2 linked regions of the Rhinolophus ferrumequinum genome follow. The protein of the gene in region 2 interacts with the protein of the main gene of each other region in a biochemical or structural test. Links are inferred from orthologs where the notes say so. Each region holds a gene or a part of one and is shown on either strand. Other genes may lie near its edges. The genes, in order: DKC1 and SHQ1.

Region 1 (15,344 bases), on a different chromosome or scaffold from region 2:
GAATCCTAAGTGTGTTCTTCAGTCTTTGTTCTATCCCAAATTCTGTACTTCCTGGAATTAAACCAAGTCATTTGGAAAAAAAAAAGTGACTCACCAATGGCAGCAGCTGGATTCACAGCTCAGGTGATTATCCTGAAGCATCCAGACCAAATCAGTGCTGGATACGCACCTGTGCTTGATTGTCACACAGCTCACATTGCTTGCAAATTTGCTGAGCTGAAGGAAAAGATTGATTGCTGCTCTGGGAAAAAGCTGGAAGATGGCCCGAAGTTTTTGAAATCTGGTGATTCTGCCATCATTGATATGATTTCTGGCAAGCCCGTGTGTGTTGAGAGCTTCTCTGACCATCCTCCTCTGGGCCGTTTTGCTGTTTGTGGCATGAGACAGATAGTTGCTGTGGGTGTCATCAAAGCAGTGATCAGGAAAGCAGCTGGAGCTGGCAAGGTCCCCAAGTCTGCCCAGAAAGCTCAGAAGGCTAAATGAGTAGCTTTTATCCCTAAAACCTGTCACTCCAGTCTTAATCAGTAGTGGAAGAATGGTCTCATAACAGTTTGTCTCAATTGGCCATTTAAGTTTAATGGTGAAAGACAAGTTAATGATTACAATGCATTGTAAAACTTTCAGAAGGAAAGGAGAATGTTTTGTAGACCATTTGTTTTTTTGTGTGTTTTTTTTTTGTGCTTCAGTTTTTAAGTTATTAGTTTTTAATGGAAACAACTTGACCAAAAATCTGTCACAGAATTTTGAGACGCATTAAAAGGAAATTTAATGAGAAAAAATAGCATGAAATGTTTTCACAAGTCCAAATCAAACACTTCTCAATTCATTCTACGAGGACGATATTACTCTGATACCAAAATCAGAAAAAGACAGTAAAAAGAAAGAAGGAAAACTACCGACCAATATGCCTCATGAATGGAGACATAAAAATCCTCAGCAAAATACTAGCGAGTAGAATTCATAGATACATTAAAAAAAAAAAATTATACACCATGACCAGTTGAGGTTTATCCCAGAGCGGCAAAGCTCATTCAATGTATGAAAATCAATCAATGCAATCCACCACATTAACAAGCAAAAGAGGAAAAGTCATATAACTATATCAATTGATGCAGAGCAAGCATTTGACAAAACCCAACACCAATTCATGACAAAAACTCTCATAAAACTAGGAATAGAGGGGGAACATCTATAGAAGACATATGACTAACATCATACTTAATGGTGAAAAACTGGACACTTTCCCCCTAAGATTGGGAACAAGGAAAGGATATCCACTCTTACTGCTGTTATTCAACATAGTATTGGAATGTCTAGCCAGTGCACTATGCAAAAAAAAAAATAATAATAATAAAAGGAAAGAAAAGAAACAAAAGTCACACAGATTGGGGAGGAAGAAATAAAACTGTCTCAATTTGCAGATGACATAATTGTCTTCATAGAAAATTCCAAGGAATCTACAGAAAAAAAAAATCCAATAACTAATAAATGAGTTTTACAAGGCTGCAGGATATAAGATCAACATACAAATCTCTACACAATTTCAAGACTTATTATATAGCTACAGTAATCAAGACTGTGTGGTATCGGTAGAGGAATAGACACATAGATAAATGAAATGGAACAGAGAATGCAGAAATAGACTCACATAAATTTGCCAAATTGGGTTTTGAAAAAGGTACAAAAGCATTTCAGTGTAGGAAGCACAGTCCTTTCAACAAATGGTGTTAGAGCAATTGAACTTTCATAGGCAAAACAAAAAACAAAAAAAGTTTAACCAAAACCTCACATCTTTTACAAAAATTAACTCTCAATAGATCATATATGTATATGTAAAATGTAAAACTCTAAAACTTATAGAAGACAACATAGGAAAAAAATATTTGATACCTAGGACCTGGTGATGAGTTCTTAGACATGACACCAAAAGCACAAGCCATAAAAGAAAAAAATTGATAAATTGGACTTCATCAAAATTAAAACTTTTGCTCTACAAAATATCTTGTTAGAAGTGTAGAAAGACAAGCTACAGGCTGGGAGAAAATGTTTGCAAGCCACATATCTGCCAAAGGACTCGTATCAAAAATATATAAAGAACTCTCAAAACTCATTAGTAAAAAAAACAAACACTATTAATCTAATTAGAAAATAGATAAACTACATGGAGAGTCATTTTGCTGAAGAGGATATAGAGGCAGCCAAAAAGCATATGGAAAAATGTTCAATATCATTAGCCATTAGGACAATGTATATTAAAACCACAATGAGATACCAGTACATACTTATCAGAATGGCTAAAATTAAAAAAAAACAACGCAGAATCCTCACATCGATTTCAGGACCCATGGAAGGAAGGAATCATGGCAGAAAGGCCCAAGTGGAAACCCCTGGAGCTCCACCTTCCTACCAAAGTATAAGTCAAAAGAAATATCACATACTTAGGGGAGAATGTCAAAAATTAGTTTCATTATCAAAGACTTGAAAAATGCAGGGAAGGAAATTCCTATCACATCCCCATTTAATTCACCAGTTTGGCCTGCACAGCAGTTAGTTAGGTCTTGGTGAATGTGGCAGTTTTGAACCAGGGCTCCAAAGTTCTTTGACACCCCTCGTGGAGAGGTGAGGTTGATGCCCCTTTCACTTGAACCTGGGTAGGCTTTTGACTGCTTCAACCATACAATACAGCAGAAATGATGCTATGAGACTTCCAAGGCCAAGTCACAAAAGGTTATGCAGTTTTATGCTTTCTCTGCCCTAACACTTGCTTTTGGAACCCTGAGACACCGAGTACAGAGTCTGACAACTCTGAGGCTGCCATGCTGTAAGAAAGTCCAAGCCACATGGAGAGGCCAAGTGTAGAAGGTGCCCCAATCCAGTGAAACCTGGTCTGCCAGCTGAATTCTCAGCACAACTGCAATCTGTCAGCATAACAAAATATTTGTTTAATGATACCAAGTTTTGGGATGGTTTGTTATTCCATTGATAGATGATGCTGAGGAATTCAAAGAGGATACAGTGGGAATGTCTTCTCTCTGCTCCATAATGTCTGATGGCTCGGCTGAGATGACTCAAGAGCCGAGGGTGACTGGAGGGCTGGAGGCTATAATAGTCTGGAAGCTTCCTCACTCACATGCTTGTTGCCTGTTCTAGGATGCCTATTCTGGCTATTTCATATGAATGGAATCATACAATATTTGTCCCTGTGTCTCTGGCTTATTTAATTTAACATGATGTTTTCGAGGTTCCTCCATGCTGTAGCATGTATCAGTACTTTTTTCCTTTTTATGGCTGAGTAATATTCCACTGCATCGATAGACCACATTTTGTTTCTCCATTCAACTGTAGATGAAGATTTGGGTTGTTTCTACTTTTTGGCTACTGTGACTCATGCTGCTAGGAACATTCCTGTACAAGTCCCCAACATCATGTTTGAGTCCCTGTTTTCAAATCTTTTGGGGTATATACACCTAGGAGTAGAATCACTGAGCCATATGGAAACTCTGTTTAACATTCTGAGGAACTGCCAGACTGTTTTCCCCAGCAGCTGCACTGCTGATGCTGGGATGCTGCTACTCATGCCTGACTTTAAGACTTGGTTGGTCAAACAATGCCTAGTGTATGATGTGCAGCTCAGTTCATAAGACCACTTGTATTAGATGGTCAATCAGGAACTAAAGAAGTCAGGAACTTTTCTTCCCAGCAAATTGGTGTGTGTGTGTGTGTATATACGTGTGTGTGTGTGTGTAGGTCTTAGCTTTATTTTTATCCCAATACCAGAGGCCCGAGCTATGATTTTCTAATCAAGTCATAGGAAAGGCTCTGTGTAGCATCCTTACAGGGAATGCCACGTCCAGAAAGACGCCCACCAAGCATTGTGTTTCTTTCTTAGTGACAGTAGGTTTGAGGTATAGCAAATTGCTTCTCTCTTCAGAAGGACCATCTCAATATGCCTCAGCCTACTGGATACCTAGATGTGTTGGGTTCTTGAATTTTCCTGGGACCTATCTCTCATCCTGTGGTGAAATATTTGCTACTTCTTAGCATTAGGCCCAATCAACAAGTCATCAATGAAGCAGACCAGCATGATGTCTTGGGGCACAGTGAGATAAAGTCAGTCCCTGGGGACTTAATTATGATAATGTACCAGAGAATTGAAGGGACAGTGCTGGGGGGGGCCTCCTTTTGACCTTTCTTTGTATACTTGTCTTCAGTCCTTGAGTCAGGAAGCCCCTGTGGGAATTCTTCTATCTGCTTATTGTGTTTATTCCAATTCTGCAATCAGGAACTGGGGAAAGAGCCACAGGGGTGCCCACAGCAAAATAGAGATAGATTAAGACTCCATTTCTGACTAGTGGACTACAGTGGCATTCTATGTCCCCAGGAGAAAGTGGGAGGAAGGTTTAAAATACAGTATATACTTGTAGTGTTATGGGTATCTGGCTTCCTCTTTACTTGAGGGCTCTGAGCCTGTGGACTGATTGGGTCTCGGAATTAGATGAGGGGCCATGATTTTCCATTGTGGTGATTCAAGGCAGGCTGCCATTCACCAGAACTAGAGATTCTGTTGTTGGTTGTAGGGGTTATACAGACCATGGGCTACTATAGGTAGCCTACTAACAGGACACCATGATCAGTTAACCACCCCAAAAGATCCATGGGAAGTAACCATTCTGGTTCCAACTGTCAGTCCTGCTGCCTATCATGATACCCATCCTATTTCCGAGAATTAGTGCCACCACTTGCAATGTTTCCCACCTCCTTTCCCCAACTAGTTTTCCAGAACCTTTACCAAATTTTGTCCAAGTGTTTTGGTGAAAGGAATGTCCTTTGAGCCCTCTCAGGGGATGTCATTAGAGGGTGTGCCAGTGGGATGCACATAAAAATTCCATTCCAACATTCCAACCTCCCTGAGAATTGGGACTGGAGACAACGAGGGGTGGAAGGGGTGGGGCACAAGGAGAATTGGCATTCCATTGCTCAGTAACTGACCAGCTGATTTCATTACAAGATCTCCAAGAAAGGCAGGATCAGCCTCATCAGACAGTGGGGGAGGAGCTGCTTCTGCTGGTAAGGGAAGGTCCATGGGGTTTCTAGGTTCAGAAAACATAGATTCATTCAACAAATTCTTACTGAGCATTTTCTAGGAGCTGGATATATAGCGGTGAACAGAATAGACAAAACTTTCCTGGCTTCATAAAGCTAATATTCTAGTGAAGAGATAAATAATAAGCCAGGTACACTTAAGGAACAGAGAAGAATGTGCCTGGAGTAGTCCTGAATAGCCAAGAGGCAGTGTGGTGTATTAGTTTCCTAGGGCTACCATAACAAATTACCTCAAACTGGGTGGCTTTAAACAACAGAAATTTGTTTTCTCACAGTTCTGCAGGCTGGAAGTCTGAAACCATTCCAATCTCTTCCTCCATCTTCACATGGTCTTTGTCTCTTCTGTGTGTCCTTGTCCTTCTTTTCTAAGAACACTTGTCATGGGATTTTAGGTCCACCTGGGTAATCCAGGACGATTTCCTCTTGAGATACTTAATTACATCTACAAAAACCCTTTCTCCAAATAAGGTCACATTCATAGGGTCTAGAAGTTAGGACATATCTTTTGGGGGGACCACTTTTTACCCCGCTAAACAAGGGAAGCAGAGGAGAGACACGGCCTGAAGGGCTTTGACCAGAGGCATGGCCTGACTTACAGTTTAATGGCTCTTTCCAGCTGCTGTGTTGAGAAGACACTATAGTTGGAAAGAGTAGAAGCAGAGGGAACTGCAGGAAGCCACTGAAAAAAATCTAGGAGAACCATAAGGATGGCATGGACTACCGTTGAAAAACAATCAGGTTCTGCATCTCTTTTGAAAGCAAAGCTGACAGGCTTAGCTAACAGATCTGTTGAGTGTTGGAAAAAGGTGAAGCCCATAGAACCATCAGTGAATACCTCAAACTTATTCAGCCAAACATGTATCAGTGAAGTATTACAAAATAATGGGGCAAGTAGTGAACTACTCATGGATTGGTTGATACTGGGGACTTTGGTTATCTATAAAAAGTCAATTTAGATCATTATTATTATTATCTTGGCATACACCAAAATAAATTCCCGATAGATGAAAAGTTACATGAGGAAAAACTAGTCATCAGTCTTTTTTTTTTTTTTTTGCCACAGTAAAATGAAAGTGCAAAATTTCTATTATTTGGATGGTGGAGGAGGAATGGAAGAAAAGCAGTACCTGTCCTCTTTGTTCAGCAGCAACTCATTAGAAAAGATTATTGACAAACGATTCCATTTAGAATCGCAATAAAGAATCGAATAACTAGGGATCAATCAAGTCCACACTTGAGACGGAAGAGCGAGAAGAGAGAAGAGCAAAGACAGAAGGGAAGAGGGCTTGAACCAGAAGCTGCTACTTCCTGGCTGTCCAATTCCGCAGACATTAGTGGCCTGTGACTATAGAGCACTTGCCAGGGACACCCGTTCGTGGAGTTCAAACAGAAGTGTACTGTAAATGTAAAACACATCTGAAAGACTTGGTACAAAAAAAAAAAAGTAAAATATCCCATTCGTAATGTTGTGTATTGCTTATATGTTGAAATGATATTTCGGATCACAGGGTTAAATAAAATTCGTTATTAAATTTCTTTTCCCCGTGCGGCTGCTGGAAAATTTAAAAATTCACGAGTGGCTCGCACTTTATTCCTATTGGCCAGCGCTGCTCTAGCTGGATGGCAATTGCAAGCAGCAAAGGGCTTTCAACCTCACAGTGGCTTAACGTCTTTATATTTCAATCGGGACTGATCAGACAACAACCTTAAAGGGTTGGCGTGAGGAAGCAACTTGCTATAGTTAACAGCGTCCTCAGCCAGGTGTCCACACCCGGGTTAAACCCAGTAAAGGTAAGTGAACAGCGGCCGGGGCCACGCCCACAGACTATGGGCCGCCAAGGGGAGCTAAGTTTGGGATCCCAGCCGGGGCTGCCAAGGGAGGGATCCAGGCCCAAAGCACTAGCGCACGCGCATGCGCAAGCGCGTCATCCCTGGGGCCGAGCCAGCCAGATTGTAGAGGCGTCCCGCGCGCGCCCCAGATCCGGCCCCTTTCTCCTGACCCCGCCGCACGTCGCGGCACGCACGGGGCGGTGCAGAAGTGGGCGGGGTCTAGCGGCGCGGCCTGAAGGCGGCGGGAGTCTGTAATCCTTCTCTTGGCGGTGGCCCACGCGGCTCGCACGCTGTGTGGGCAACATGGCGGACATGGAAGGTAGGGGACGCTTCCTCGCGTTTGGTAGGGCCGGGTGTCTCCGGGTGTCTCCGGCCGGGGCCAGCTCTGCTTGCTCGGAGGGCCCAGGGAGGTGGACGGCGTCGGGGCCCGACCTCTGCTCGTTCCAGCCGCTGGATTGGCCCGGTCGCCGCCGGGCTTCCTGCCGGCTTTGCTCCTTGGCTTTGGCTCTGCGGGTGAGGGCAAAAAAGCGGGAGGCGCTCGTGATGAGGTGGCGCCGCGAGGCCCGGGCTTTCCGCTGATGGCACAGCCCCTTTAGGGCCCGGGTCGCCATGGAAAGGCGTTGGCCGTGCGGGGGACCCTGCGATGGCAGGAGACCTAGCAGTACCTGTGCCGCCGGTAGCTCAGACGCCACGGTCTGCGCCACACGATGAGGAGAGGAAAGGGTAGTTGGAACGGGCGTGGAAGAAAAGGGGCCGAGGGGCTCCAGCGTGGGCGTAGGTCCAACAGGCAAGAAAGTTCAGGAGGTCACAAACACGAGCGGACAGTCAAGCGATCACTTATGGAACTTTCCGGCCTCGCGGGCCGAGCGCTTCTGCGGCGTGTTTAAGCCCCGCCACGGCCACGTGGTGAACCGATCGGAAGCTGACATGTGCGACTGCTTGCAGTCAGTTACTGAGCCGTGCAACCCACGTATTTGGCCTTACACAGTTTGTTTTCCCCAGTAATTCTATGCCAAACATCCATTTAATACCTGCCCTGGTTTCAGTCTCTATTTTAAACTTTGTTGCCTTTATTTGCGGGGATAACTCCCAAATTGGGATTTGTTTGTTTGTGTGTTTTTAGTGCTTATTTTGCCGAAGAAGCATAAGAAGAAAAAAGGGGTGAAGTCATTACCAGAAGAAGATGTAGCAGTGAGTAGGAATATGTTTTACTTTGTTTTGACTAAAAAAGACCACTTAGACAACAAATTACAGAAAACTTTTCTAAAGGTTTTAAAGAAATTTGGTGGTTGTGTAGAAACTACACAACCCCAGCCAACCTAAGCGTCTCCTATGGGGTAGTTTCCTAAATGGTCTTGGTCTCGCCAACCCCTTTCCCTGCAGTTTCCTCTCTTATCCCACCTGCAGACCCACTATCCCTCTTTCTCTTTAAATAGCTGTATCCATCTTGGGGGCACTTAATTTAACCTTCTGACATCCTGGCTCATTTCTGCTCTTTCCCTTGGAGGGTCTCACTGAAGAGGCGTAGACTACCTTGTTTTCTATTGAAACGGCATAGGCTTCTGTGGTAGTAATGGAATTGTTCAAAATCAGGTGGGAAGTCTAATAGGGTATGTTTCTGTCCCATGGAAGGAAATACAACACGTTGAAGAATTTCTTATCAAACCTGAATCCAAAGTGGCTCAGCTGGACACATCCCAGTGGCCCCTGTTGCTAAAGGTATGTGGTTAAGATTGTACATCACGTGAGTGCTTAATACTGGCATTCTTTGCTAAGGAAATGCCCGGTGATATGGTCTAAAGCAGTGTTCCTCAAAGTGTCTGAGATGAAGGACCAAGTTAGTATTTTTATTTCCAATGCACCCAACACTGTCACAGTATACATTTAAAATGTTGAAATGACATCGAACTGCTCTCAGAGTTTATAAACAATTAGTTCTTCAGTCCCTGTACTTAACGCCACCTTACAGACTCGTGCCAATTTGTGGGCCACGCTTGAAGTAGGACTGCTTTAGTGCTTGAGAAGCATGGGCTTTGAAGCCAGACCAATTTGGGTCAGGCAGTGTGTGAACTTGGGCCAATCATTTAACCTCTTTGAGGCTGTTTGCTCATAATAGCTTCTCTTAGTAAGACAAGCTGAGGGCTGTGGGAGGTGATCCATGAAATGTGTTTAGCCAGTGTCTGGTGTGTAACATGTCCTCTAGAAATTATTGACTGTTGTGTTGGGCTGTAAATAGAGTAGTAATGATTTGATTTACAGGTTTCACAAATGATTTAATGGGCACCAGCTCTGAGATTAGGAGACAAGGTTAAGGGAGACAAAGTTACTGAGAACACCCCTTGACCAAGTATTTTAATAAAACGTGTATATAATGGCAAAAGAATGAGATTTGCTTATATAATTGAACACAGTTGAGTTTCTGCTTGACCAGATGTATCTTCCATTTAGATAGCATCTGCTTTTCTGTTGTAGGCCCTGGGAATATGTCAATGAACCTGGTAGGCAAAGTCCCTATTGTCATGGAACTCAGAATGTAGGGGTGGGTAGGTGATAGTTTAAAAAATAACTGCTCTTTGTGTAAAAAATGATTGCTATTTGTGGTACTACCATGATGAAATGAAACTGGGTGATATGAAAAATGGGCTTCAATTGAGGGGAGCTCCTTCAGACCAGTGGTTGAGCCTCAGAAAGGAGGAGAGTGAAAAGGAGCAGACATGAGAAAAAAAGAGCTAGGAGCTTCTGGAGCAGTAACAAGCTAATTATGTTTGAGAGATATTGTTGCCAGTCCTCAATTAGGCTATCTTTTGTCCCTGAGAAAATCAAAGCTAGTTCATATTTTATTCGTAAAACTGCACAGTGATGCCCAGTCTGCTCTGTGGTACCCCAAGAAGTCTCTATTAGGTCGGTGCAAAAGTAATTGTGGTTTTTGCAATTGTTTTTAACCTTTTAAACTGCAGTTATTTCTGCACCAACCTAATAGAAGAGTGATCAGATTTGCCTTATTTATTTATCCATCTATCCATCCATCCAGAATGTGTTTATTGGGATGGTTCCTCATCCTGATTCAGGGTGCTTTTAGTGCTGCTGCCTTCTGAAGCAGCATCCTTCTGTAAGCCTTGCTTTTCCTCCTGTAGGCTCACAGAAGACAGTGGAGCAGCCTGCACACAAAACTAGTGTTTATACATGGCTAAGGACAGTGATTTTATAGCCTCCTGGGCATTTCACAGCCATGAAGGGGAGTTGGGGTTCTGCCCCAGGTGCTTTTTCTTGCGTTCCTCTTCTCTTCTGGAGAGGATGTTCTCATGGGGAGGTGGTCAGGAAGAAATTTGTCTTTTTCTTACTCGGGTGAATTTTCCAGTATGTAAGCAGATTTAGTCTGTCACAGCAGATAATGAACATATAGGAGCAACATCCAAGTTTGTGTACAGTAACAGTAACCATGTCGCGGTTGGTGGTAGTGCTAACTCTGGTTTTACATATATTAATGGCTTATTAAGTTTATTTTGTGTTGTATCGTTGCTTTCTAGAACTTTGATAAGCTAAATGTAAGGACGACACACTATACACCTCTTCCTTGTGGTTCAAGTCCTCTGAAGAGGGAGATTGGAGATTATATCAGGTAAGTGTTGGATCAAGCACTGTTCAAACTTGAGTTCTGTTCACAATAACCCGTTCACATCAGTTATTCAAGGAGGTAGTGGTATCGTAGAATGGCATTGCCCTAAACCGCATAGAACCTGTACCCATGGTCAACTCTTAATTTTTACTCTTCAAATTTAGTTTTTATTAGAGGATCGGAGCTGATGGCCCAGTAATTTCTTTTCCATTCTAGGACAGGTTTCATTAATCTTGACAAGCCCTCCAACCCCTCTTCCCATGAGGTGGTAGCCTGGATCCGACGGATACTTCGGGTGGAGAAGACAGGACACAGTGGTACTCTAGACCCTAAGGTGACTGGCTGTTTAATCGTGTGCATAGAACGAGCCACTCGCTTGGTAAAATCACAGCAAAGTGCAGGTACGTGGAAGAGGTGGCTAACTTGAGACTGGAAGGCTTTGTGCATTTCCTTTCCCTTCTACTTACGTGTTGGCTCTTGGAAATTATTTCTTTCATAATAAAAAGACCCTAAGCAGGGCTACTCTTGCTTTCTGTTCATCTTCTGTCCTCTGCCGGACCCTGGTTTGCCTTTCTTGGAGTTCCAGGTACTGTGTGCTGTGTGCACACTGAGGTAGACCTGCGTCCGACCAGCTCTTAGTTTATCACTCCAGGCTCCTGAACTCTGTGCTGCCGCTTCGGCCTGAAGTGCCTTTCCCTCATTTTCATCAGGGAATATTCTCCTACTTGACCTTGCGAAGTTTTTTCCAGGCAGGCTCTACACTGGGTACTCCAGCTGTCCCTGTGAGCACACTGAAACTTGAACCCTGATGAGAGAAAGTGTCTTTATTCCTTTCCCATGTCTGTACCATGCAATCTTAAGGAGGTCAAATTGCCTGCTTTTCCTGCTGCACAAAATGGGAGTGATATGAGTATATAAAAATACAGAAAACTCAGTGGCCGCACCTGACTACTCTTTTGTCATTTTTTCAGGCAAAGAGTATGTGGGAATTGTCCGGCTACACAATGCTATTGAAGGGGGGACTCAACTTTTTAGGGTAAGTCTGTAATTGTAGGGAGGGCATCCTTTGGCAGTGTGGATCTCTGAGCCCCTAGACATCTGGAGACAGGTCAGCTTTCCTGGCTGGCGTCTCTTGTGCCCCTTTCAGTGGGCTGCCTTAACCAGCCTGGACAGGTGACTACAAATGGCAGGGGCACTTCCGGCCATGTCCCTTCTGAGGAGAGGGTTCTGATCAGCACTGAGCCATCTCTGTGTGGTTGAAGAAAAGCAAAAAGCATTTTAGATCTTAAATGATTGAAAGAAACCTGTGCATTTCAGTTGTGTGCTTAAACTCCCATAATGTGCCCTTTGATCTTATTTGAGAGTCCATGCAATGAGAGTCTTTATTGTGGTTTGTGCTTATTCTCAGGCCCTAGAAACTTTGACAGGTGCCTTATTCCAGCGACCCCCACTTATTGCTGCAGTAAAGAGGCAACTCCGAGTGCGGACCATCTACGAGAGCAAAATGATCGAGTACGATCCTGAAAGAAGATTAGGTGGGTCATTAGGCCTATGAGGAATTGAATTAACATAGACGGGGCGGTGGTGGTGTAGGAACGCTTCCTTGGAAACTGCTCTGTTGGTAAAAGTCCATGCCCTTAGTATATGGTGCAGTTGTGGCCTGTGTCTGTCGTCTCTAGTCTCACTGGCTCAGGTCTGGGTTTCTCAATTGGTGGTGTGTTTACTTTGGAAAATATTTACTAGTTTTGTGTGTGTGTGTATGTGTGTCTTAGGAATCTTTTGGGTGAGTTGTGAGGCCGGCACCTACATTCGGACGCTGTGTGTGCACCTTGGTTTATTATTGGGAGTTGGCGGTCAGATGCAGGAACTTCGGAGAATTCGTTCTGGAGTCATGAGCGAAAAGGTACACACCATGGCGGGACAAGAAGTTTTAGAGCTGGTACTTAATATAGTCTATCCCAGGGTGCAACTCTGTCTGCTTCACGTCCTGGGAAAGGCAGTTTCCAAAGTGTTGAGTTCAGTTCAGGGCAGCACCCCCTGTTCTGTTAATTAAACTTTGGGACATTGAAACAGGCTAGGGAAGATGATTGGATAGAAAGCATTACTCTATTCATTTACTTCCCAGCCTACAAAAACGCTTGCTCAGATTTAAATGTATGATCAGTTAATGATAATCAGCAGTTAAAGATGTCCAGAGAGGAGTGATTCTAAAGTAACTGAAGACCAATGAACTTAGACTTGGCAGACAAGACTAAATTCATTCAGTGTTCGGAATTTGGGGGTCCATTGGGCTGTTTGAACAACGACACTGTTATTTTCATACACCGCTGCTTTTCAGGACCACATGGTGACAATGCATGACGTGCTTGATGCCCAGTGGCTGTACGACAACCACAAGGATGAGAGTTACTTGCGGCGAGTTGTGTACCCTTTGGAAAAGCTGTTGACATCTCATAAACGGCTGGTTATGAAAGACAGTGCAGTAAGTTCTGGGCTTTGAGTCCATGTTTGGATATGTTATACGTAGTCCATAATAAAAGGCAAAGAATAAAGAGGTATACTGAAGCATGTCACTATGACAATAGCCACATAAAACAGAAATATAATTGTCATATACCTTCCTTATGCTGGGGTCAAAGTGGTAGCTTCTGGGTGATTTTTTTTTTTGTAATTTAATTTTTTTTAATTAAAGTTTATTGGGGTGACAATTGTTAGTAAAGTTACATAGATTTCAGGTGTACAATTCTGTATTATATCATCTATATATCACATTGTGTGTTCACCACCCAGAGTCAGTTCTCTTTCCATCACCATATGTTGGGACTTCTGGGTGAATTTAAGGGGGCGGGGTTGGAATACTGTCAGCAGAAGAGATCTAGGTGAGTGAAGACAAGATGGGACAAGGCAGGTGGATGCATTGAGTGTCACTGAACTCTGGGAGAGGTGGCCTTAACTCGTACCTATTGGCCTATAGGTTATGCCAAAACGTATTTGTATTGGTTCAGCAGGCCTCATAATCTGGCTTGTGAGTTACTTTGGGAACCTGCTATGACCCAGATCTCCCAAAAAATCTAATCGGTCTCTAGTTCTGTCCAAGTTTTTCCCTAACGTAAGGCATAGAGAAGAACTGTTAAGGAAAACTAAGTCTAGGTTTGGGTTGAAGATGAAACCACCTTTCAGTCCCACAGATGTACAAGGAGTAGCTATGTGAAGGCCTCTAACATTTCTAAGCCAGTGTGTGTAAAGTGCCTAGTGCATGGTGCATGGCTGCTGTTACTTGAAGTCCCTTCATGTGCCGATTGCAGCCGATGGCTGTCAATGCTGTTGGCACCGTTTCACAAGGGGGGAGATTCTCGCAGGTCCCCTCCTCCTGGTCCGCCTTTGCTCTGATGTGGGTGTGGGGTGGAGGGGGCAGTGCCTCGGGCTCTCATGGGTGGTGCCATCCCTGTAGGTGAATGCAATCTGCTATGGGGCGAAGATCATGCTTCCGGGTGTTCTCCGATACGAGGACGGCATTGAAGTTAATCAGGAGATTGTGGTCATCACCACCAAAGGGGAAGCAATCTGCATAGGTAAGACGGGAAGGCGCCCCTGGCCCTTCTGTACCCTCAGAGCTAGGCTCATGAAGAGCAGGTCCCCATGTCCTGCCCCCTCGCTCTCATCTACTCGCTGTATTGCCAAGCACCTGAAGGGGTGGTCACAGTGAAGGGCCATGTCAGAAGGGACAGGCGAGGCAGCGGTAAGTGGGGGTTCCCCTTGTGCCACAGGCTGCTGTTAGAGGCCATGTCTCAGCAGCTTGGCTGTCCAGTGAAGAGAGGGAATCAGTGAGTGGGAATGTATGTGTGGTAATCGATGAAGGGCCTTAGCCCACCCCGTCTGTAGAGCCACATGCACGCCCTCAGAGGCAGTTGAGGTGGCAGACCTGGGGATTTGAAGAAGTTGCAGAAATGGTGGAATTTGGGCTTACCGGTTGTCAACTCTTTCCCCTAAAATCATTCTTTTATCTCTCCGACACCTGCAGCAATTGCATTAATGACCACAGCAGTGATCTCTACCTGCGACCATGGCATAGTAGCCAAGATTAAGAGAGTGATCATGGAGAGAGACACTTACCCTCGGAAGTGGGGCTTAGGTCCCAAGGTAAGTGGGACTGGGGGTGTGCTGTCAGGTTCTGTTTAGTGTTTTCGAATACTTGGGCAGCGCTTGGTGTGTCCCCACCGCCACAGCCTTGCCTTGTGCTGGGCTCTGGGGGAGGGGTCGGTGAGTAGAAGTGTGCCTGTCTCAGACCCTGGAGGTGTCAGTCTCACGGGAGGAAGCTGATAGGCATCACACATTGACAACAGGCTGGTGGCTTTTAGCCCAGTTGAGGGCTTATCGAGGAGTGTAGAGGTGCCTGGCACCTTGAGAGCCCTCAGTGAGGGGTTCTTCCTGGTTGGGGGTTCTGGGTAAGGGGCTTTCACTTGAGCCATGCCAGTGTGAAGGACGTAACATTAGATACTGATGAGGTGAAGAGGGGAGGGGAGGCCCAGGGCACTGGACTAGCATGTGCAAAGGCCCTGTGCCACATGTGGCACTGCACAGGCTCTCGCTAGGACATAAGCTTCATGACCTTGAACTTGAACAAGTCCATGTTTGCTCCTGTTGGAGAGTGGGTGAGTTTGGACTGCTCTGTAGAGGAGTGAGGCCCAGCTAACAATACACAAGGGAGGAACATCATTGGAGCCAGCTGCATGCAGTCATGATACCTGCTTTATGTGTTGACACCATCCTGATGTTGAAACCCTGATGGTCCACC
Region 2 (15,386 bases):
ACTTAATAAAATAGGTATAGAAGAAAAATGCCTTAACATAATAAAGGCCATATATGACAAGCCCTCAGCTAATCTCATAATTAATGGTGAAAAACTGAAGCCCTTTGCTCTACGTTCAGGAACACGACAGGGCTGTCCCCTATCTTCTCTGCTTTTCAACATAGTGTTGGAAGTCCTTGCCAGAGCAATCAGGCAAGAGAAAGAAATAAAAGGCATCCTCATTGGGAATGAAGAACTTAAATTATCACTCTTTGCAGATGACATGATGCTATATACAGAAAACCCTAAAGACTCTGCCAAAAAGCTATTAGAAAAAATCAACGAACACAGTAAAGTTGCTGGCTACAAAATCAATGTACAAAAGTCCATTGCATTCTTATATACTAACAGTGAAATCTCAGAAAAAGAAATACAAAAAACAATTCTTTTTGCAATTGCAGCAAAAAGAATAAAATACCTAGGAATAAACTTAACCAAGGATGTGAAGGACCTATATGCTGAAAACTATAAGACATTTTTGAAAGAAATTGAAGAAGACACAAAGAAATGGAAAGACATTCCGTGCTCATGGAGTGGAAGAATCAATATAGTTAAAATGGCCATATTACCCAAAACAATATACAGATTTAATGCAATCCCCATCAAAATCCCAATGGCATTTTTTAAAGAAATAGAACAAAAAATCATCAAATTTGTTTCGAACACAAAAGACCCCGAATAGCCAAAGCTATCTTAAGAACAAAGAACAACACTGGAGGTATCACACTCCCTAACTTTAGCTTGTACTACAGGGCTACAATAATCAAAACTGCATGGTATTGGCAGAAAAACAGATACATAGACCAATGGAATAGAATTGAGAACCCAGAAATAAAACCACATAAATGGACAGATAATTTTTGACAAAGAAGCTAAAAACATAAAATGGAGGAAAGACAGCCTCTTCAATAAATGGTGCTGGGAGAATTGGATAGCCACGTGCAAAGAATGAAACTGGACTGCTCTCTGTCACCAAGCTTCAATAAATGGTGCTGGGAGAATTGGATAGCCACGTGCAAAAGAATGAAACTGGACTGCTCTCTGTCACCATGTACCAAAATTAATTCAAAGTCGATCAAAGACCTAAGCATAAGACTTGACACAATAAACTGCATAGAAGAAAACATAGGTACTAAACTTACGGACCTTGCATTCAAAGAGCATTTTATGAATTTGACTCCAAAGGCAATGGAAGTAAAGGCTAAAATAAACGAATGGGACTATATGAAATTTAAAAGCTTCTGCACAGCAAAAGAAACCATCGACAAAATACAGAGGCAACCAACTGAATGAGAGAAGATTTTTGCAAACAGTGCCTCCGATAAGGGGCTAATATCCAAAATATACAAGGAACTCATGAAACTCAACAACAAAAAAGCAAACAACCCAGTTGAAAAATGGCCAGAGGACCTGAAGAGACATTTCTCCAAAGAGGCCATACAAATGGCAAATAGACATATGAAAAATGCTCAACATCACTAATCATCAGAGAAATGCAAATAAAAACCACAATGAGATATCACCTCACCCCAGTCAGAATGGCTATCAACAAGACAAATAGTAACAAGTGTCGGAGAGGCTGTGGAGAAAAAGGAACCCTCGTACACTGTTGGTGGGAATGCAGACTGGTGCAGCCGTTATGGAAGGCCGTGTGGAGATTCCTCAAAAAATTACGGATAGAATTACCATACGACCCAGCAATCCCTCTCCTGGGTATCTACCCAAAAAATCTGAAAACATTTATCGATAAAGACACATGTGCTCCAATGTTCATTGCAGCTTTGTTTACGGTGGCCAAGACATGGAAACAACCAAAATGGCCTTCGATAGATGAATGGATAAAGAAGTTGTGGTATATATACACAATGGAATACTATTTGGCATTTAAAAGATAACATAGGAACATTTGTGACAACATGGATGGATCTTGAGAGTATGATGCTAAGCAAAATAAGTCAGACAGAAAAAGCAGAGAACCATATGATTTCACTGATATGTGGTATATAAACCAAAAACAACAAAAGAACAAGACAAACAAATAAGAAACAAAAACTCATAGACACAGACAATAGTTTAGTGGTTACCAGAGGGTAAGGGGGATGAGGGTGGTAGACGAGGGTAAGGGGGATCAAATATATGGTGATGGAAGGAAACTGACTCTGGGTGGTGAACACACAATGGGATTTATAGATGATGTAATACAGAATTGTACACCTGAAATCTATGTAATTTTACTAACAATTGTCACCTCAATAAATTTAAAAAAAGAAAAATTATGCAGAACTACAAAAAAAAAAGAAATCGTGCATAATATTGTAGACTGTCTGATACATACATATATTTAAGATCTCAAAAGATGTTATCATGGTTATATTGTTCAAAAAATGTTAGTAATGGTTTTAAAAAAATTTATTTTTAAAAACTTATACAGTGCAACACCAAAGTAACGAACAATCTAATTAAAAAATGGGCAGAGGACATATGGAGACATTTCTCCGAAGAGGACATACAAGTGGCCAATAGACATGAAAAAATGCTCAACATCACTAATCATCAGACAAATACAAATAAAAACCACAGTGAGATACCACATCACTCCTGTCAGAATGGCTGTCATCAACAAATCAACAGATAAGTGTTAGCGAGGATGTGGAGAAAAGAGAACCCTCATGCACTGTGGTGGGATTGTAATTTGGTACAGCCCTATGGAAAACAGTATTGAGGTTCCTCAAAAAATTTAACATAGAAGGTTAAATTTAAAATTTTACCTTATAACCTAGCAATTCCATTCCTGGGTATCTATCCAAAGAAATCCAAAACACTAATTTGAGAAAAATACATGTACAGTGGTACCTCTATTTTCAAACGTAATCCATTCCCGAAGACCGTTGGAGTTCTGAAACGTTGGAAAACAGCCGACAGCTAGGTCTCAGGATCTTGCACTCAGCGGACGCCATGTGACATGTTCAATTTCCGAGGCGTGTTCGAAAACAGAAGCATTTACTCCCGGGTTTATGGTGTTCATAAACCGAAATGTTCGTCAACAGGGACATTCGAAAACTGAGGTACTACTGTACTCCTATGTTTAGTGCAGCACTATTCACAACAGCCAAGATATGGAAATAACCGAAATGCCCTTCAACAGACGATTGGATAAAGAAATTGTGGTACATTTATACAATGGAGTATTACTCTGCTATAAAAAATAATGAAATCTTACCATTTGCAACAACATGGATGGACCTAGAGGATATTATGCTAAGTGAAATAAGTCAGACTGAGAAAGACAAATACCCTATAATCTCACTTATATGTGGAATCTAAGGAGAATAAATGAACAAACGAAACAGAAATAGACTCATAGATACAGAGAACAAACTGATGGTTGCCAGATGGGAGGGGGTTAAGGGGGACGGGTAAGAAAGGTGAAGGGATTAGGAAGCACAAATTGGTAGCTACAAAATAGTCACAGGGACGTGGTGTGCAGTAAGGGGAATATAGTCAACAATGTTGTAAAACTGCATGGTGTCAGCTGGGTGTTGGACTTGACAAGGGGAATCACTTCTTAAGTTGTATGGATGCCTGGCCACTGCACTGTACACCTGAAACTAATATAAAATAGTATTGAATGTCAACTATAATTAAGTATATATAATCATGGGATATAAAGTACAGGAATATAGGGAATATAATAATCCATGGCATTGTAATAGCTATCTAGTTTCAAATGGGTAGTAGACTTGGGGGGGGGTTTATCACTTTGTGAGGGGTGTAAATGTCTAATCATTATGTTGTTTTATAGGACCTGGAACAAATAACAAAAAAAAAAGATTTGAGAGAAAAAAAAATGTAAGCTATTATTACTAGCTCCCTTCTCCTAGATTCTTGTAGTATAAATTCTTACCGTGAAATAGTAAAATCATATTTGTTCACAGATATGCCTCCTCTGCTAGACTCTCAATTCCTCAAGGAGAGGGGTGAGATTTTATTCATCTTTGTTGTGCTATAGTAAACTATATTTTCAACAAAGATGGCCCATGTCACATCACTGCTTCCAACTGGGGGGGGGGGGTCAGTGTTCACTCCCTTTAAAACTGAGTGGGCTTCTAGAACTGTTTTAACCAATACAATACAACAGAATTGATTGTGATTTCTGAAGTTAGGTCATAAAAGATGATATGGATTCTCCCTTGCTGGCTGGAATACTCACTCTAGAAACTTTTAGCTATCCTGTTTGTGCTCCAACTCCCTGAAGGAATCACAAATTAGGACCATGCGAAGAGACTACACAGGGAGGTCGTAAGACTACAGGAAGAGAGATACCCTCCCCAACTTCACCACGCCAGTCCTCAGCTGCTTAGGCCCTTCCTGTTCCAGATCCAGCCATCATGTGGTCACAACTGAATTAAAGACCTCAATCCAGAAGAGCCCAGCCAAGTCCTTATCAAATTCCTGACACACAAAAACCAGGGAGTTAATTAAATGATTATTGTTTTAGACCATTAAGTTTGCTTGGTTATCAGCACGACAACTGAAACAGCAGGCCCTTAATAATACCTACTATTTATTGAATACATGGTTAATTACCAGACATGGTAATAAGAACTATGTATGCATTATCTCAATCCTCACATCAATTTTTTAAGATCACTAATATTAGTCCCATTTTACAAACGAGAAAATTGAGACTGAATAATTTGCCCAAAGTCACAGAACACCAAATGTGCTGAGCCTCAGGTGTGCCCAATTCCCAACCTCTGATACCCAACGAATGGATGAATGTGTGTAAAGAGTAGTCTAAATTGTTTCACAGATTACCTCTTATTTTGTCTTTATCAAAACTCTGACTTAAGCAAAGTGATATTTACTTTGAAATTTTTATTTTATTGTATTTATTTTATTTTACAATCCTATCTTATTTAACAACTTTTCTCTGAGCCTCTGATCCCTCATCTGTAACATGGGTAAATGACAGAACCTACTTTGTAGGACTGCCCTAACACCAAATGAGATGATCCACGTAAAGCACTGACCTGGAGTAAAAATCCAATAAATCTTTGCTATACCATCATCAGCATCTTCTCATTCTTCATATCTTGGCTTAAACATCACCTCCTCAGAAAGGCTTTCTTTGGCCACTTTACATAAACATTGGCTCTCTTTTATTCTCTATCACTGCACTTTATTTCCCTTCAGAGCACTTACTATGATTTGTAGTTATATGTTTACTTGTTTGCTTATTATTTTTCTATCCCCACTAGAATGTAAACCACTGAGGCACCACTACATCTCCAATACTGAAAATAGAGCCTGGTACATACCATGGACTTGATAAACAAATAAAGATATAAATAGGTACAGAAATAGATAAGTGCAGCATACTCAAGTAGGCGAATTAAGTTTGGGCCTAATGGGTATCTGAGAAAAAACTGGTTCAGTCCCAGTGAGGAACAGCTTGATTCCAGAGGAAGGTTTGTATCAGGAAGTACTAGGGCAGGAAAAGTGGGGTGGAGCTATCTTTGAATGAGAATGATCAGGAGAATGGATGTTACCCTCCTAGGAAAGGGGAGTATTGACAATGTTTAAGAAGAATAATGTGGCAGTGTCCTCTGTAACAGGGGACTAATAATAATAATGCCTATCTCCGAGGACCACTGTCAAGATTAAATGAGATAATGAACATAAAGCATTTAACACACTGCTTGTCCCTCCTCTCAGATGGAATGTGAATAGTGGTAGCTGTTTACTACTGTTACACTATGGTTCTGCAGGGAGAAAATGCAAACAACAAATGCTGAAGGCTCCTCGCCGAGACATGGGGGACGACAACCACAGTCAAGGGGCAAAACCAGAGAAGCAGCAGATAATGAGGAAGTAGGAGAACGAGCTACTTTGGTGTCATGGGGGCCACGGAAGGCGAGAATTTCAGGAAGAAGGGAGAGGTCAGTCAAGAGGTGGATAACACAACGTGGACTAAGAACAGTCAAATGGAATGGTCAGTTGGGAAGTCAGCGCGCGCTGTCCTTGGGCAAAGAGGACTAACGCAGAGCGAAATAAAGAACAGGAAAAGGAAGGGACGGGAACCTGGGCGACAGGACGAAACTGGGAAAGTTACAGAGGCCCAAACGCCACGTTTTAAAGTGGCTCCGAAATCCCTCTAATGTGGAGATTTAATAAGTTTTAAGATGAGCTTCGGCAGTATCTAGAACGCACACCTACAAGAGTTCACTTCCTTAGGCACCTAAAGAAGCTGCGGGGGTCTCGGAAAAAGGCAGTGGTGAAATCGAGAAGTGCTCCCTCGTTCTTTCATCCTCTCTGGATAAGTGGTTATCGAATGAGTGAATGAATGAATGAAGCCCCAAAACACCCTTCCCGTGGCCAGACACGCAGGACTCACCTGAGAAAATATGGCTTGGCATAGAACTTGAAGTCGACCCCCTTGAAGTAGACGTCAAACTCCGAGACCCGGGCGTAGGGCACGCGGATAGCAATAGTCAGGAAGTCGGGGTCCTGGCTGAGGTCGAACGCCGGGGTCAGCATTGCCGCACCGGACTCCTGTACCCAAGTCAGTCACTGTCACTGCGGCCACGATCTCACCACTCAAATTCTCCAAGAAATACCCACGCGCAGATGCTCGTTCGGTGAGTCACAGCGCTTCCGGCTCAAGGCGGAAGTGCTCGTGCGTGAGCGAGGAAGTCCCGCCTCTCACCTCTCTCCGTGGAGACGGGATGCTATTGGTGGAGAAATAGAGAAAGGGCGAGTGGAGCTTTGTGCATAGGTATTGAACCCAGAGCGTAACTTGGCAGAACACGGACAAGAGTCCACCTTTGACCCACCAAGCCTCTTTCGAGGTTCTTAGAGATGATTTTAACAGCACTGGCTTTGCGGGTAGGCAGACCTACTTTTGAATCCCTTCTCGGCCACTTCCCAGCTGTTAAGACCATTGGAAAGTTACAAAACTTCTCTGTGCTTCACATACCTCTTGTATAAAATGAGAATAATACTAGGATCTAGCCCCATAGAGATACTGTGAAGATAAGATGAAAATATGTAAAGCTCTAACAACGTACCTGCAAGTTGTCGATGCTCGATGTGTTGGCTCAGTCACACAGCAGCATCCTTACTGTGGTTTTCCTTAGATCACAGCTGTTTGGTCAACAATCCCCTTTTCATCCTCTTCCTCACCGCCTTTCTATGCAATCTCTCTCCCCTCCTTCTCTTCTTCCTCTCCCCCTCCGTATCTCCCTCTTTCCCTCTCTCTTTCCTAATTCCTTATTTGAATAGAGTTTTCTTGTTTACAGATCGTCATCCACCTAATCTCTTTCAACACTAGGAACTCCAAAGAACGACTCAAAAGGTTAAGCAATATGTCTTATAATAATCATGCACTTTTACAATGATCAGACCCAGAACGTCTGACTCTTAAACCATGTTAGGGTTAGCCTGTATTGGCAAATTGCTGTCTTTCTGTACTTTTCCTTTTCTTAGTTTTCTCCTTAGACTTGTTTGCGGTCCTCTTCGGTCTCCTTTTACCCTTCGCTCGCTTGTCTTCTCCCCCCCCCTCCCCTTTTCATCTATGCTCCTCATACTCTCCCAGTGCTTCCCCACTAGTCTCTCTCTTCCCCTACATATTCCCTTGGCCTTCCTTTCCTCTAATTTTATTTCCTGTTATTCCACCAATAGCTAGAATAGTCCAGGAAATAGTACCTATTTAGCCATCTCCTCTGACAGTGGACCAGATAACTTCAAAAGCCTTTTCAATCTTCCATTTTTCATGAGTCTTAGAATTAAGACTCAGACAAATACATTAACTAGAGCAAACAAAATTTTAAAAATTTAAAATAAAAACCACTCTGCTTAAATCTGGGAGTTTTGATAAAGACAAAATAAGAGGTCGTGTGTAAAACAATTTAAAGCATACTCTTACACACACATTCAGCTATTCCTTGGGTAGTAGAGGAATTAATTGAATTAACTGAAATTTAGTATGTGCCGGCACATACAAAATCCTTTATAGTGATCTCATTTTCTCCTTGTGACAGCTCTATGAAGTAGGCATTATATATCCCCATGGTTTGCACAGGATTACACAGTTAGTGAGTGGTGAAACAGGAATTGAAACCCAAGTGAATCTGATTTCTGTTCCCAGGCTCTAAAATACTATAGAACTGACTCCCTTAAAAATTAATGTAAGACCCAGTATTATTTATATTATATTATATTATATTATATTATATTATATTTTATATTATATAAGACCACTTATATTTTTGCTCTAAGAGATGCATTGGAGCTGATGGTCCAGCTAGGTCTCATTTTGCGGAAACACGGTACCCAACTTGTTTCCTATTCTGAACCAAGCCTCCCTGTTTTAGGCCATACTGAACCTTACAAATAACATGCACTCAATACTGTAAATACATTGATAAAACTTGTAGTTAGTAAAGCCCTTGAAATAGGCCTTTGGATCATTCCAAATTAGCTTTACATTTACCAAGGGACCTCATTCCTATAGGTCACAAGTATTAATATTTTTAAATTATTAATGCAGGAAAATTAACTGAGACTGAAGTTATGCTATCCATGAGGAAACTCTAATTGAAAGCACTTTAAAGTAGAGCTGTGTACTTTCTAGATAATTTATTCTATGTTTGGCAACACACACACTCACACACAGGATTGCAACACAGATAAACAGATTGTATGATTCATTGCTGCTCTTATAAGAAATATATACAAGTATTACATCTGATGTATCGCAAAATACTGATAGTTGCAACTACATAACAGGGTTTTGTTGGTGGTGTTTTATTTGCAAGCTGTTGTTTATTTTTGTATTTCTAATTAGTGGTAAATTACACGTTATAAATTCTATTTAAAACAATATAAACAAAGTCATTTTAAAATAGAATATCAGAGGAATTGCCTTGCATGTCTTATGCCTCAAACCTCTGGAATATTAAAACAGGGCAAAATAAACTTTGGGCTGGGCTTAAAGCAACATTATGTCCCAAAAAACTGTTTACAGGGATAACAACAAAGCTGATATTATTACTATCAGACTGACAAATACCAGACTAAAAATTAAAAACATTCTTTAGAATGAACATCTCCATGTTAGCTCATCTGCACCAATGGAAATGCCTTCCTACTATTCATGTAATTGTTCTCCTTCCCTTTCTTATAAATACCCCTTGCCTTTGTCTCCTAATCAGAATCTTATTTGGGTTTCTGTCTGAATCAGCTTCCCAAATAGCTATTTTTCAAATCGCAAATAAATGCTTTTTGCTTCTCACTTTGCCTTTATTTTTTAGGTTAACATATCTAATGTCAGGAGTGGGATCTAAAATGGCTTCACCTTCATGGACCAGCATATCCTGGGTCTGGGTATAATACCTAAACAGCCTTTTTTGTGCTCACCACATCCATGGACCACTATCTCCTTGACTGAAGCCCTCTTAGGTTCAGACCTCCCTCCTTTTTGGACTGAGGTTAAATACCATTATTTGAGATCAGGAGGGGGTTTTTACCTCAAGGGGGCAGGGGCCCCCTTAGTGTGTGTATATATATATATATATATATATATATATCAGAGGAATTGCCTTGTATATACATATATATATATATATATATATATATATATATATACCTCTAGAGGGAAATTATTAGCATTAATTTATAAAGAGCTCTGTTTAATTGGATTGAATGAATTAAGCAATACAATAGAAATTAACACAAATATTTTTCAATATCACATGATCTTGGAAAAATTTGATATTAAAACTAATATTAAGTTAGTTGGTTTCATTAAAACAGACATGTCTTTAGAGTTATTAACTTTTAATATAATATTTTTATTTTATCTGGGTTTACGAAAAAATAAGTTCATGTTATCTCTGTTATAAATGGTGATGGAAGGGAAACAGGACTCTATTGGGGAACAGTGTGTACTTCCAGGACTTTTTTTTTTCCAAGTCAAGTTGTTGTCCTTTCAGTCTTAGTTGTGGAGGGCGCAGCTCAGCTCCAGGTCCAGTTGTTGTTGCTAATTGCAGGGGGTGCAGCCCACTATCCCTTGTGGGAGTCAAACCGGCAACCTTGTGGTTGAGAGGACACGCTCTAACCAACTGAGCCATCTGGGAGCTCAGCAGCAGCTCAGCTCAAGGTGCCAAGTTCAATCTTAGTTACAGGGGGTGCTGCCCACCATCCCTTGCAGGACTCAAGGAATTGAACTGGCAACCTTGTGGTTGAGAGCCCACTGGCCCATGTGGGAATCCAGGCAGCCTTCGGAGTTAGGAGCATGGAGCTCCAACCACCTGAGCCACTGGGCCGGCCCTATTTTTGGCTTCTTAACACAGAAAAACTAAAGATATTTGGGTTCATTAATAAACATGTTTTATGCTATGTTGAGGAAACAAATGTTTCTAAAAATTATCAAATATATTTTCCAGTCCAAGAGCCTATATTTTTGAGACTATGAAATGTATTCATAACTTTGACAATCTAGAGTATGCTAATTGCTCACTTTTAGTTGTCACTAGAAATTAACGTTTCTAAAGATTAAAAATTCAAATTAGCAGGGAAATAATTAATAGATGTTTTCAGTAAAAGGTGATTTAAGATATAGATATATGTTTCCATTAAAAAATGAAAAGAATTTGTCCTGGTTATTTCAAAATGGGAAGACAAAAAGAGAAAAAATTTTACCAATTGAAATTAAGCAGGCTAAAGTTAAATTGTTATTAAGCTTAATATCAATATTGGACTTATGTAAAGCTAAAAATTAATGTTGCTGCTCTACTAAAAGAACAAAATTTTCCTGTATTTTTAATAGGCTTTTTTTAAATTAAAGTTTATTGGGGTGACAATTGTTAGTAAAGTTACATAGATTTCAGGTGTACAATTCTGTATTACATCATCTATAAATCCCATTGTATGTTCACCACCCAGAGTCAGTTCTCCTTCCATCACCATTTACTTGATCCCCTTTACCCTCATCTCCCACCCTCCACCGTCCTTACCCTCTGGTAACCATTAAACAATTGTCTGTGTCTATGAGTTTTTGTTTCTCATTTGTTTGTCTTGTTCTTTTGTTGTTTTTGGTTTATATACCACACATCAGTGAAATCAAGTGGTTCTCAACTTTTCCTGCCTGACTTATTTCGCTTAGCATTATAATCTCAAGATCCATCCATGTTGTCACAAATGGTACTATTTCATCTTTTCTTACCGCCAAATAGTATTCCATTGTTTATATATACCACAACTTCTTTATCCATTCATCTATTGAAGGACATTTTGCTTGTTTCCATGTCTTGGCCACCATAAATAAAGCTGCAATGAACATTGGAGCACACGTGTCTTTATGGATAAATGTTTTCAGATTTTTTGGGTAGATACCCAGGAGAGGGATTGCTGGGTCATATGGTAATTCTATTCGTAATTTTTTGAGGAACCTCCACGCTGCCTTCCATAGCAGCTGCACCAATATGCATTCCCACCAACAATGTATGAGGGTTCCTTTTTCTCCACAACTTCTCCAACACTTGTTACTATTTGTCTTGTTGATGATAGCCATTCTACCTGGGGTGAGGTGATATCTCATTGTGGTTTTTATTTGCATTTCTCTGATGATTAGTGATGTTGATCATTTTTTCATATGTCTATTTGCCATTTGTATGTCCTCTTTGGAGAGATGTCTCTTGAGGTCCTTAGCCCATTTTTCAATTGTGTTGTTTGTTTTTTTGTTGTTGAGTTGTATGAGTTCCTTGTATATTTTGGATATTAGCCCCTTATTGGACGCGCTGTTTGCAAAAATCTTCTCCCATTCGGTTGGTTGCCTCTTTATTTTGTCGATGATTTCTTTTGCTGTGCGGAAGCTATTAAGTTTGATATAGTCCCATTCATTTATTTTAGCTTTTACTTCCATTGCCTTTGGAATCAAATTCATAAAATGCTCTTTGAACCCAAGGTCCATAAGTTTAGTACCTATATTTTCTTCTGTGCAGTTTATTGTTTGAGGTCTTACACTTAGGTCTTTGATCCATTATGAGTTAATTTCGGTACATGGTGACAGCAGTGCAGTTTCATTCTTTTGCACGTGACTTTCCAATTCTGCCAGCACCATTTATTGAAGAGGCTGTCTTATTATTGTATGTTTTTTGCTTCTTTGTCAAAAATTATCTGTCCATATTTATGTGGTTTTATTTCTGGGTTCTCAATTCTATTCAATTGGTCTATGTGTCTGTTTTTCTGCCAATACCATGCTGTTTTGATTATTGTTGCCCTGTAGTACAAGCTAAAGTCAGGGAGTGTGATACCTCCAGCATTGTTCTTTTCTTCTTAAGATTGCTTTGGCTGTTCGGGGTCTTTTGTGGTTCCAAACAAATCTGATGATTTTTGGTTCTATTTCTTTAAAAAATGCCATTGGGATTTTGATGGGGATTGCATTAAATATGCATATTGCTTTGAGTAATATGGCCATTTTAATTATGTTGATTCTTCCAATCCATGAGCACAGAATGTCTTTCCATTTCTTTGTGTCTTCATTTTCTTTTAAAAATGTCTTATAGTTTTCAGCATATAGGTCTTTCACATCCTTGGTTAAGTTTATTCCTAGGTATTTTATTCTTTTTGCTGCAATTACAAAAGAAATTGCTTTTTTTTGGTTTCTTTTTTGAGATTTCATTGTTGGTATATAGGAAAGCAATGGACTTTTGTATGTTGATTTTGTAGCCGGCAACTTTACTGTATTCGTTGATTGTTTCTAATAGCTTTTTGGTGCAGTCTGTAGGGTTTTCGATATAAAGCATCATGTCATCTGCAAAGAGTGACAATTTAACTTCTTCATTCCTAATTTGGATGCCTTTGATTTCTTTCTCTTGCCTGATTGCTCTGGCGAGAACTCCCAACACTGTGTTGAAAAGCTGAGGTGATAGGGGACAGCCCTGTCATGTTCCCGAATGTAGAGCAAAGGGCTTCAGTTTTTCACCCTTAATTATGATATTAGCTGAGGATTTGTCATATATGGCTTTTATTATGTTAAGGTATTTTCACCCTATACCTATTTTATTAAGTGTTTTAATCATAAATGGATGTTGTATCTTGTCAAATGCTTTTTCTGCCTCAATGGATATAATCATATGTTTTTGTCCTTTATTTTGTTTATGGATTTGCGTATGTTGAGCCATCTTCGTGCCCCTGGGATGAACCCCACTTGTTCGTGATGAATAATCTTTTTAATGCTTTGTTGCATTCGATTTACTTGTATTTTGTTTAAGAGTTTTGCATCTGTGTTCATCAGAGTTATTGGTCTGTAGTTTACTTTTTTGTGTTGTCTTTACCAGGTTTTGGTATCAGGGGAATGTTGGCCTCATAAAATGAGTTAGAGAGTATTGTCTCTTCTTCAATTTTTTGGAAGAGTTTGAGTTGGACAGGTATTAGACCCTCTCTGAAGGTTTGGTAGTATTCACTAGTGAAGCCATCTGGTCCCAGACTTTTGATTTCAGGAAGGTTTCAGGTGGTTGTTTCAATTTCATTACTGGTGATCGGTCTATTTAGATTTTCCAGTTCTTTGTAATTCAGCCTGGAAAGGCTATATGTTTCTAAGAACTCGTCCATTTCTTCTAGGTTATTGAATTTGATGGGATATAGTCCTTCATCGTACTCTTGGATGATCCTTTGTATTTCTGTGGTGTCCGTGATAACTTCCCCTTTTTCATTTCTGATTCTGTTTATTAGTGTCTTTTCTCCTTTTATCTTAGTGAGTCTAGCCAAGGGTTTGCCAATTTTATTAGTCTTTTCAGAGAATCAGCTCTTTGTTGCATTAATTTTTTCTATTATCTTTTTGTTCTCTATTTCATTTAGTTCTGCTCTGATTTTTGTTATTTCCTTTCTTTTGCTGACCTTGGGTTTCCCTTGGTCTTCTTTTTCTAGTTCTTTAAGGTGTAACGTGAGGTTATTTATTTGGGATTTTTCTTGTTTCTTGAGATAGACCTGTAAAGATATAAATTTCCCTCTTAAAACTGCTTTCGCCTTCATCCCAAAAATTTTAGTAGGATCTATTTTCATTCTCATTTGTTTCTATGTATCTTTTGATCTCTCCTCTTATTTCTTCTTTGATCCAGTCATTCTTAAAAGTATGTTGTTTAATCTCCATATATTTGTGGTTTTTCCTGATTTCTTTGTGCAGTTGATATTTAATTTCAAAGCCTTGTGATCAGAGAATATGCTTGGTATTATTTCAATCTTCTTAAATTTGCTGAGATTCGTTTTATGTCCCAATTTATGGTCTATCCTTGAGAATATTCTATTTACACTAGGAAAAAGTTTATAGTCTGATGTCCTAGGGTGAAGTGCTCTATAAATGTCAATTATGTCCATTTCATCTAATGTGTCATTTCGGGTTGCTATTTCTTTATTTTCTGTTTGGATGACGTATCCATAGCTGTCAATGATGTATTTAGGTCCCCTAGTATAATTGTGTTTTCGTCAATTTCTTTCTTTAGTTTTGTTAGTAGTTACTTGGTATATTTCGGTGCTCCCTGATTTGGGGCAGACATATTGATGACTGTTATGTCTTCTTGTTGTATAATACCCTTTATCATTATGAAATGTCCATTATTTTCTCTTGTTACCTTTTTTAACCTGAAATCTGTTTCATCTGATATCAGTATGCCTACAGCTGAATTTCTCTGCATACCATTTGCTTGGAGTTTCATTTCCACCCTTTCACTTTGAGACTATGTTGTCCTTGTAGCTGAGATGTGTCTCTTGGAGGCAGCATATGGTTGGCTTTAGTTTTTTGGATGCTATCCGTTACTCTGTGCATTTTTATTGGTGAATTGAGTCCATTTACATTTAGGGTGATTATTGATATGTGAGGATTTCCTATCATTCTATCTTTGGTTTTCTGGTAAGACTGTGTCTCCATTGTTTCTTTGCCTTTTTGTTGCTGTCAATTATTTCAGTGTGGTGGTATTCTATGATTTTTCTCTCTGTTTCTTCTTTTATTATGTTATATAATTCAATTCTGTATTTTTTTTTTTAGTGGTTACCATTAAGTTGATATAAAAGAAAGTTTCATATTTAGAGTATTCCGTTTTCTTCAGCATGCTTACTTTTCTCCATTCCCATATTCCGGTTCAGGCCTTTACTCTCCCTGCTTTTATGTTTCGGTTGCCACAAATTATCCCTAATTATGCTGGTCGAATAGCCTCCTTCAGTATTTCTTGTAATGCCGGTCGTGTGCTATAAAATTCACTCAGCTTTTGTATGTCTGGAAATGTCTTTATTCCTTCCTCATATCTAAAGGATATCTTTGCTGGATATATTATTCGTGGCTCATAATT

Evidence for each region.
Region 1: the proteins of SHQ1 (region 2) and DKC1 are reported together in a solved structure, tested with the Homo sapiens proteins (2 studies listed by BioGRID, with this or other methods). The link is inferred for Rhinolophus ferrumequinum from reciprocal best matches to the Homo sapiens genes SHQ1 and DKC1.

What each region holds. Positions count from the first base shown.
Region 1 is NC_046284.1:5,792,744-5,808,087, reverse strand, and holds the start of DKC1 (H/ACA ribonucleoprotein complex subunit DKC1), read left to right. Parts: upstream 1-7,070; 5' UTR 7,071-7,236; coding exon 7,237-7,252; intron 7,253-8,056; coding exon 8,057-8,124; intron 8,125-8,565; coding exon 8,566-8,652; intron 8,653-10,008; exon of another isoform or gene 10,009-10,164; intron 10,165-10,460; coding exon 10,461-10,552; intron 10,553-10,765; coding exon 10,766-10,950; intron 10,951-11,520; coding exon 11,521-11,585; intron 11,586-11,957; coding exon 11,958-12,084; intron 12,085-12,321; coding exon 12,322-12,452; intron 12,453-12,550; exon of another isoform or gene 12,551-12,683; intron 12,684-12,887; coding exon 12,888-13,031; intron 13,032-14,000; coding exon 14,001-14,121; intron 14,122-14,570; coding exon 14,571-14,689; intron 14,690-15,344.
Region 2 is NC_046300.1:66,543,997-66,559,382, forward strand, and holds the start of SHQ1 (protein SHQ1 homolog), read right to left. Parts: upstream 6,702-15,386; 5' UTR 6,580-6,701; coding exon 6,437-6,579; intron 1-6,436. UniProt on the Homo sapiens protein: Required for the quantitative accumulation of H/ACA ribonucleoproteins (RNPs), including telomerase, probably through the stabilization of DKC1, from the time of its synthesis until its association with NOP10, NHP2, and NAF1 at the nascent H/ACA RNA.